Caenorhabditis elegans: one gene and its partner. The protein of the gene in region 1 interacts with the protein of each later gene in a pairwise test. Each region holds a gene or a part of one and is shown in the gene's direction. Other genes may lie near its edges.

Region 1 (5,012 bases):
AATCCTGACTTTGTTAGGAATCTCCTTTCCAGAAGTTGTTTCGAATGAACGCAATGGCAAAAATGGAAGGAAAAAAGGAATAATTCGTCCTTTGCATCGACATCTTGTTGTGTTCTTTTTTGTCCCTCTTCATTCTATTGGCGTGTTCGGGATATTATCCTCTCCTCGCCAACCAGCAGCTACTACCAACTTTTTTGTCGATGTTCGTCTTCTCTTGTGTTTTTGTGTGTTCCCATTTAGTTTCAGTTTTTGTTCTGCGCATTTCACAAAACTTTACTATTTTCAAAGTTCTTCGACACGCAAAAAACTCTACAAAAGTTTACTTTCAACTTTTTTTCGTATTTGGATTTATTTTAGCTATTTTTTTTAACGACTGGTTTAAATAAAAATAGGATGGGAGAAATTTTAGTAGACTTAATATGTAAATGTGAAAGAATTTTAGTAGACTTAATATGTAAATGTGTAATTTCCAACAATTAAACGAGGAGAAAAGACGAAAAATAAAAAAAATTATCGAAAATAGAACACTTTGTCACCATCAAAATCACTAACACTAGCAAAATAGCACAGTTTCATAGTCATATTACATATGCATGTTATAACAACAAACCTATTTTCATCTTTTGAAAACCCTACACACAATTCCACTTTTTTATGGAGAAATACAACCACATATAATCTTTTGATTTCAAAAAGTTATTTGTAATTGCCAAGCATTCATTACTTGGAGATCACGTTTTCCAAAACATCTTCGTCAGCAATTATTAAAACTTGGGAGTTTTTTTAAAGAATTATTGTATGCATTAGAGTGCGTTCTTATTGAGTGTTTCAAGTATGGAATTTGTTCTCAATTAACAAATTATTCTTAAACACACAATTTAAAATTAGTGCTTCATGTACAATTATATAGTCCGTGAAACAATGCAAATCTCCAAAAATTTTTAAACTTATTTAAAACTTGATAGGTACTTTTCAGCATATTTTAGTCTAAGGAGCCCTTTTATTGTTTTCAAAATAGTAGGACAGCAATTTTCTAATGAGTTAGAATTCACTCAACCAACCCTCAGAGGCATACCGTACTGTTTCTTCAAAATTTTGATTCTTTTAGTTTTGATTTCCATTTAAAAAATGCGTCAATCTGAATACTACCTATTGTTCAACTTTTCTATTTCAAACTGCATTCCCATACTCTTTCGTCGCTCCAATTTTTATGGGACAAAATTGGCGGGGGTTTTGAGTACCTCCTGGCCTCTCGTCCCATTCTTTGTGATCACACTTTTTGTTTCATTTCACACTTCATCCCCACACTTTCAACCGATACGAATTCGTATCGCAGATTTGTATAAAACATAGCGAAAAAGGAACGGCGACAAGTTTTGATTGGTTTTACAATGCAAAACTTTTTTGTTTATTAATATGTATGGTCTTGTCAATAATTGTTAGATTTTAGATTTGTAATTGACAATTTGTTAATTGGTTTAAAACTATGGTTTTTGCGAATACACAAATATCCGAATAGCATAACTTTTTTTTAATTATTAAATCACCACAATTTTGTAAAACAACTAAAAACTAATTATATCCAGTTTAAACATTATCCATTCATTTCGTATGCATATAAGTTCAATCAGTTCAAAGTATTTGTAGTCTCTACTCCGCGTTTCCAATCTCCTCTAGCTTAGTACTATTTATCTGACAGGAACTGTTGTTATTGTTTGACTAGCGAATAGGCGTTAGTGTTGAACCAAGTGCGCAGTAATAAGCAGTGAACAACGAGTGAGAAGTATGCAAGCGCGCTCTGCTGGTCACTGGATGGGTTATGAGAAAAGAGAGGGCAGCCGGGTACTCGACACATACCTTCACACCAATTGCGCGTCCTTTCTTTTTTCCTCCATGTTCTTTTTTTTTTGTCTTCTTCGATTTTTTCTTTTTATTTCTTTTTTTTAATTCAAGCCAAACTTCATAATTTTCAGGCTTTTCTAACTTTGAAAACATCAAAACATTCTCCCATGTAGGACTTAACAAAAATGTGAGTTCAGTTCATTTCATAATTCTTCTCAAAAACTATAAGGCCATGGTATTTTGTTTATTTTAATTTTACGAACAACATATACTAATAAAGAAGAAAATGTTTTTCAGGGGTCATTCACATAGTACTGGGAAAGAAATCAATGACAATGAACTCTTCACATGTGGTAAGCATTTTGCGCTTGAAAATTGTGAAAATTACTTTTCAACTAAAAACAAATATAATTTCAACATTTGAGTTTGGCATTGGATTTCAAAAAAAAAATTGAATGGTATAATTTCATACCATTTGGAAAAATTCAGCCTTGAAAAATATTAACTTGACGAAACTAATGAATATTTGTTGATTCAAAAGTTTTCCTAAAAAAATGATTATTGTTTGAAACTCATTAAAAAAGTACTGATAAAGTTTACGATTGTTTCTGAAGTATCAGCTTTTGTTTTTCTATTTTTCAAAAAAAGGAAGCTGCTCTCAGTTTTGAAAGAAAATAAGGCGAAATTGTAAAATAAATTATACGTAAAGTATTATAAAACTAATATTTTGTAATTTCTCAGTTTCTCAAAAAAAAAAAGTTCATGTTAAAACATGAAAAACAGTATGTTAAGTTTTATGTATTGTTTTTAACGTTCCTTCTACTTTTCGATGAATTGTCACAATCTCATTCGAAATTGTCTGCCCACAATAAGGCCCTTCGAGTGTAGATGACAGATTCAGAACCGCTCTTAATGCTTTATGCGGTTAGGTTCTCTAATCCTCCAAGTGTTCGGTTCCCTTCGTATTCCCGTTCGCTGTAGATATATGCCGGAGAGGGTGTGGGGAGGGTGAGAGATCCTCTTCTAAAGTCACAAGTAAACGAGACGCGGAAGAAAACGAGAGTAGAGATAGTAATAGCTGGTATGGTGGATTGAAAGAGAGCATGAGTGGAAGACGGGACGCAGACAAACCAAGAGGTCACATCTCCCTTCCCTCGTCCGTCAACTCCCGGTCCCTAGTTTGAGGACAACGCATGCGTGATCCAAATATGGGAGACTATCCAATCAAGTGTATCTTCTCTACTCATCTAGAATAATTAGATCATAATTTTTTACAAACTACAATATTTATAAAATTATACACTTTTAAAAGGTTTAGGCATAATTTATTTGGGAAAGGAAGTTTGGAAGAATAGAAAAAAATGGAATAAATCCAGTTCCTCTCCCCTTTCCCGCTTTGCCGCCTCCCGGCAAAACGTCGCTTCTCCAACTTGTTATTCCAATTCAATAGGTTTCAATGCCATATTCGCAGTTATAAATGCTCGACCCCTATTGACTATTCGCATTTTATTCACTTCACTCCAGTTTTAACTAGATTTACCATTTCCCCCCATCTTTTTTCTCCCTGGGTCAGAGAAGCAGCTGGACTTGTGTTAGTAGTACGACGAATCGCCCTTCTTCTCGTTGACCAATTAGAAAATGTGCTCTGGCACATTTTCCTTTCTGTGTGGGACTGAGAACCACGGGGGACACCCAACCTCCTGTTCTTCATTCTTTCTATCCAATTTTTATGATGGATTTGGTGCGACGCGTATACAATGAATATAAACGTTCGCAAGTCCACACCCATTTTTACAATTCCCTAGACATTGACACGGCATGTGACAATATTGAATAGTTTTGCTAATTTTGTGTTACTCTCGAAGAAACGGCATTGTCTCTGCTTTTTTTGTTATCTGAAAAAATAAAATCAGTTAGGTGTTTCAGTAGAATTTTCAAAAATAATTTACATCAGACAAACCGAGCTGAACAACCAAAATATATCCTAAATCAGATTTGACGAAGTTCAGATCATTGATCTTTTTCATAACGTGATTAAACACAAAACTATAAAAGTTTTATGAAATAGAAAAGAGAATACTAATTTTAAAATCTTCCGGTTCCGGATTTGTGTATGTGTTTGCTTATCAAATCACAGTTCTTACATGTATTTTTTAAGTGAAAAATCTATTAGGTCTCCAAATAAGTTCCGGGTCAAAAATCATAACTTTGTTCTCTGTGTATCGATTTTTATGAAACTTTGGGAATTCATGTTATCAACAATGATCTTTCATTTGACATCAGTCACAAAATTTTTTGTCCACCCCAAGTGTCCTAACTCGGAGCCAATTTTTTCAGGCATTTTTCCTATCTCGCTTCTAAAAGAAGACCTTTGAATTGAGGTTTGTGTGCGGATTTCGCCTTGCTTAAAATACATTATTAGAAAACGACAAAATTTTAGAAAAAAATCCGTCCAAAAAATTTTTTTTTGGTTGGTCGTCAAAAAATGTTCAAAAAAAATTTTGTCGAAAGTTCTAGATTTTCCCTACAAAAATGATGTAAACAAGCGTGAACTATTTTTACACATACAAAACATATCAATTTATTTCGATACACCAAAATGTTAATAGAAAATATAATTTTTTCGGATAATTTTTGAGTTTTTTGAATATTTCTCGAGATTCAAATTTCAAACTAAAACGATTATTATATATTTAAAAAAAATTTTTTGGACGGATTTTTTTCTAAACTTTTGTCGTTTTCTAATAATGTATTTTAAGCAAAGCAAAATCCGCACACAAACCTCAATTCAAAGGTTAAAAGAAGCGAGATAGGAAAAATTCCTGGAAAAATTGGCTCCGAGTTAGGACACTTGAGGTGTACAAAAATTTTTGCGACTATTGTCAAATGAAAGAACATGGTTGATAACATAAATTCCCAAAGTTTCATAAAAATCGATACACAGCGAACAAAGTTATGATTTTTGACCCGGAACTTATTTGGAGACCTAATATAAACCTCGTTTCGAAGTTTTGAAAATTGTATACCGTATTTCTTCTATTAATATGACTGCAATACTATTGTTCGATGGTCTTCCCGCTTGCAATACTAATAGGGAGTGCAAGACTATTAGGGAGTGCAATATTAATTTTCAGAAAATTTTTCTGACTTTGAGCTTTCTGATTTTTTTT
Region 2 (4,693 bases), on another chromosome or scaffold:
AGATGTGACTCGGAAAAATTCGTGATTTTAGCTAAAATAAGTGTAATTTTTTCAAAATTTTGAACCGCCATAAAACAATTTTTAAAAAATTTAAAATTTTTGAGCAGTTTTATTACAAAATTCGTTCATTTGAGCTCATTTTAGGCTTCTATACGTTCAAAATCGTCCGAACCGTTTTTCCAATTTTTTGAATTGATCTCGATTTATCGCTCTATTTATCACTAAATTGTGTACTTTTTTTTGTGTATTTTTTATATTTATTCATTATTCACCATTATCATCATTGTGACGCTTTTCATTGAACAACAAAACAAGACATTTTTCAAATTAATTATCGTTTTTTCCGTTGTATTTTCAACTTTTTTGATGTGGTTAAATACCCCCCTCAATGCTCTATTTTTGCTCTTTTTCAGCTCGAAAACTGGAATTTCTACTGAAATTTACGTAATTTTTGCCATTTTTTCGCTGAAATTTGCTAGAAATCGCTAAAAAATGCGAATTTTTCGGAAAAAAAGCCCGATTTCCTCAATTTTCATCAAAAAAAGTTCAAAATAACTACAAACTACAGCTTTTTGGGCGCTGCTAAAACTACAAACTACAAGTTTTGGGCGCTGCTAATTCAAATTATAGGCGCTGCTAAAACTACAAACTACAGCTTTTTGGGCGCTGCTAATTCAAATTATAGGCGCTGCGAAAACTACAAACTACAAGTTTTGGGCGCTGCTAATTCAATTTTAGGCGCTGCTAAAACTACAAACTACAAGTTTTGGGCGCTGCTAATTCAAATTTTAGGCGCTGCTAAAACTACAAACTACAAGTTTTGGGCGCTGCTAATTCGATTTTGGGCGCTGCTAAAACTACAAACTACAGCTTTTTGGGCGCTGCTATGCTTGAATTTGTCAATTTTTTCGATTTATTCGAATTTTTTCGCTTAAAATCAATTTTTAATCAAATTTTCTTCAACTTTCCTGAATTCTAACTACAAACTACAAGATTTTAGCTCGATTTTTCTCAAAAATGCTTCAAATTTCGGAAATTTTCCGGGATTTTTCCCTGGAAAAATCGAAAATTTTCAAATTTCCTACAATTCCCGCTCTATTTTAGCGCTGCAAAATCCCAATTACCCCAAGAAAATCGATAATTCCCCCACCGTCCTACAGGTCCCCCCGTATTCCATTTTCTGAGCAGATGTTCATCCCGCGTTCTCTCTCTCCCTCTCCACGAGGCCTCCTTTCTCTGCGCTCTCTCTCGTTTCTCCACACTATTTCTCTCGTTTTCTCTGTTTTCTCTGGCGTCTCTCACTACGCGCGAGCTCCCTCACACTGCCGCCTTGTTTGAATCTACGCGGGCCTCGATATTTCGATATTGGACCAATTTCGACCAATTTTCTCGCAGTTTTTTGTTAAAAGTCTCTTTTTAAGGTTATTTAGTCATAATTTCATTGAAAATTTCGAAAGAAATTCCAAGAAAATACGAGATTTTTGCAGTTTCCACAGTTTTCTGTTAAAATTCTTGATTTTACAGACATTTTTCCTAGAAATTTTGCCGTTTTTCTGCTCACTTCAGTGAAAAAAATCGATTTTTTCGCAATTTTCTGCCCATAAATATGCTTTTTCCTCGCTGAAAACCCTGAAAATCTTTTCAATTCCCCGCTAAATTTCAGCAAAATTTCGTCGAAAAGTGGAATGAAGAAGGGAGCGTCGAAGCGGAGACGCGACGACGATGACGGTGACGTTTCGATGACCGGCGACGACGATGATAGCAGAAGTGGTGCCGCTGTGAAGGTTGAAGTGCCGAAAGGTAGCGAAATCTGTGTGGAATTTTCGGCGAAAATGCGGAAAAATAGCTCTGAAAAACGCATTTTTTAGTGATTTTCTCCGACAAAATCGAAAAAAATCGAGCAAAATCCGTGAAAATCTGGCTCCGGGCAGCCCGAATACCCTCAAAAAGTGCAATTTCAGCGTCAGAGCTCAAGTTTTTGCAATAACTGACTGGAAAACTTTGATTTTCTGGGAAATTTGCATAATTTTTCCATTTTTTCCGGAATTGAGAGTTGAAAAACGCAAAAAATTGGTTTTTTACACTCGAAAATGCTTTTTTCAACACATTTTTTACGCAAAAGTGAACTTTTTTTTTTTCAAGTTTCATTCGAAAAAGACCGAAATTTGAATTTTGGGCGCTGCTAAGCTAAATTTTAGCGAAAATTGGTCAAAATTCGAACATTTCCAGAGCGCATTTTCAAAATTTCTACTCATTTTTTGGAAAAAAAATCGGAAATTTAAATTTTAGCCAAAAATGGAATTTTTCAGCGCTTTTTCTTCAGATTTTCTTCGAAATTTCTGAAAAAATCGCATTTTTATCTGATTTTTCCAGAAAAAAACCAATTTTTCGGTCAAAATTGCATTTCAGGACCAAAAAAAACCAGATTTTTCCAAATTTCCTTCCTAAAATTTTTTTGGGCGCTGCTAAAGCTACAAACTACAAGTTTTGGGCGCTGCTAAACTACAAACTACAAGATTTGGGCGCTGCTAATTCGATTTTGGGCGCTGCTAAACTACAAACTACAAGATTTGGGCGCTGCTAATACAATTTTGGGCGCTGCTAAACTACAAACTACAAGATTTGGGCGCTGCTAATTCAATTTTGGGCGCTGCTAAACTACAAACTACAAGTTTTGGGCGCTGCTAATTCGATTTTGGGCGCTGCTAAACTACAAACTACAAGATTTGGGCGCTGCTAATACAATTTTGGGCGCTGCTAAACTACAAACTACAAGATTTGGGCGCTGCTAATTCAATTTTGGGCGCTGCTAAACTACAAACTACAAGTTTTGGGCGCTGCTAATTCAATTTTGGGCGCTGCTAATTCAATTTTGGGCGCTGCTGACCGATTTTGGGCGCTGCTAGACTACAAACTACAAGATTTGGGCGCTGCTAATTCAATTTTGGGCGCTGCTAACACTACAAACTACAGGTTTTTTGCGCTGCTAATCCAATTTTGGGCGCTGCTAAACTACAAACTACAAGATTTGGGCGCTGCTAATTCAATTTTGGGCGCTGCTAACACTATAAACTACAGGTTTTTTGCGCTGCTAATCCAATTTTGGGCGCTGCTAAACTACAAACTACAAGATTTGGGCGCTGCTAATTCAATTTTGGGCGCTGCTAACACTACAAACTACAGGTTTTTTGCGCTGCTAATCCAATTTTGGGCGCTGCTAAACTACAAACTACAAGATTTGGGCGCTGCTAATTCAATTTTGGGCGCTGCTAGACTACAAACTACAAGATTTGGGCGCTGCTAATTCAATTTTGGGCGCTGCTAAACTACAAACTACAAGTTTTGGGCGCTGCTAATCCAATTTCCCCTCAATTTCCAACCAATTCTCTTTTGCAGGAAAGGAAAAAGACGCCGAATTCAGCGCACCAAAAGGCCAAAAGCTCACTGATCTCGACGAAGAAGGTGTCCAATCAACAAAAGAAGCTCCACAACTCGCCGAAGGAAACGTCATTGAGCAGACCCACTACATTGTAGTCCCCTCATACGCCGGCTGGTTCGACTATAACGCAATTCATCAAATCGAGAAACGCGCAATGCCTGAATTTTTCAACGGAAAGAATAAGAGCAAGACACCGGACGTCTACGTTGCCTACCGTAATTTTATGGTCGACACGTACCGTCTGAATCCATTTGAATACGTGTCTGCGACGGCTTGTCGCCGGAATTTGGCCGGTGATGTGTGCTCAATTGTGCGGCTTCACTCGTTTCTCGAGCAATGGGGCCTGCTGAATTATCAAGTTGATTCGGATGCTCGGCCGGCTCCTGTTGCTCCGCCACCAACAAGCCATTTTATGGTTTTAGCTGATACACCGACTGGCATTCAGCCAATGAATCCACCTGGAAAGGAGTCTGCTGGAGCATCTGGGGAGCCACCAAAAGAGGAGATTAAGACTGAGATTGAGTCCATTTCGACGCCCGGCCTGAAAATTGATCAGTATCAGAAGCAGGCCATCGCGATGAGAGTGCGTACCTGGCGTCTGCCTTGGTTTTTCAGTGCAAATTTGAGAAAAATTGGAATTTTCAGTGCAAATTTGAGAAAAATTGGAATTTTCAGTGCAAATTTGAGGAAAATTGGAATTTTAGTGCAAATTTGAGAAAAATTGAAATTTTCAGTGCAAATTTGAGAAAAATTGGAATTTTCAGTGCAAATTTGAGGAAATTTTGAATTTTTAGTGCAAATTTGAGGAAAATTGTAATTTTTAGTGCAAATTTGAGAAAAATTGGAATTTTTAGTGCAAATTTGAGAAAAATTGGAATTTTTAGTGCAAATTTGAGAAAAATTGGAATTTTTAGTGCAAATTTGAGGATAATTGGAATTTTCAGTGCAAATTTGAGCATTTTCCGGCTATTTTTGAGCGAAAATCGGCAATTTCACACAATTTTTCATCGGAAAAATCGATTTTCACTGAAAAGTTTTAATTTTTCGACCAATTATTATGGAAAACCCGAAAAAATCCCTCAATTTTTGAATTTTTCATCAGAAAAATCGATTTTCGCGAGAAATTTTCTGATTTTTCGGCCAATTGTCATGAAAAACCGAAAAAATCCCGCAGTTTTTGAATTTTTCAACAGAAAAATCGATTTTCACTGAAATTTTTCGAATTTTCAGTGAAAAATCCCAACATATTGATAT

The links.
Region 2: the proteins of abl-1 (region 1) and swsn-1 interact in a two-hybrid assay, tested with the Caenorhabditis elegans proteins (2 studies listed by BioGRID).

What each region holds. Positions count from the first base shown.
Region 1 is NC_003284.9:10,621,162-10,626,173, reverse strand, and holds the start of abl-1 (Tyrosine-protein kinase abl-1), read left to right. Parts: upstream 1-1,984; 5' UTR 1,985-2,027; coding exon 2,028-2,029; intron 2,030-2,139; coding exon 2,140-2,195; intron 2,196-3,466; exon of another isoform or gene 3,467-3,591; intron 3,592-5,012. UniProt on the Caenorhabditis elegans protein: Functions downstream of migratory protein mig-13 and is involved in Q neuroblast migration during larval development.
Region 2 is NC_003283.11:20,246,453-20,251,145, reverse strand, and holds the start of swsn-1 (SWI/SNF complex subunit SMARCC2), read left to right. Parts: upstream 1-1,663; 5' UTR 1,664-1,685; coding exon 1,686-1,800; intron 1,801-3,396; coding exon 3,397-4,022; exon of another isoform or gene 4,023-4,693.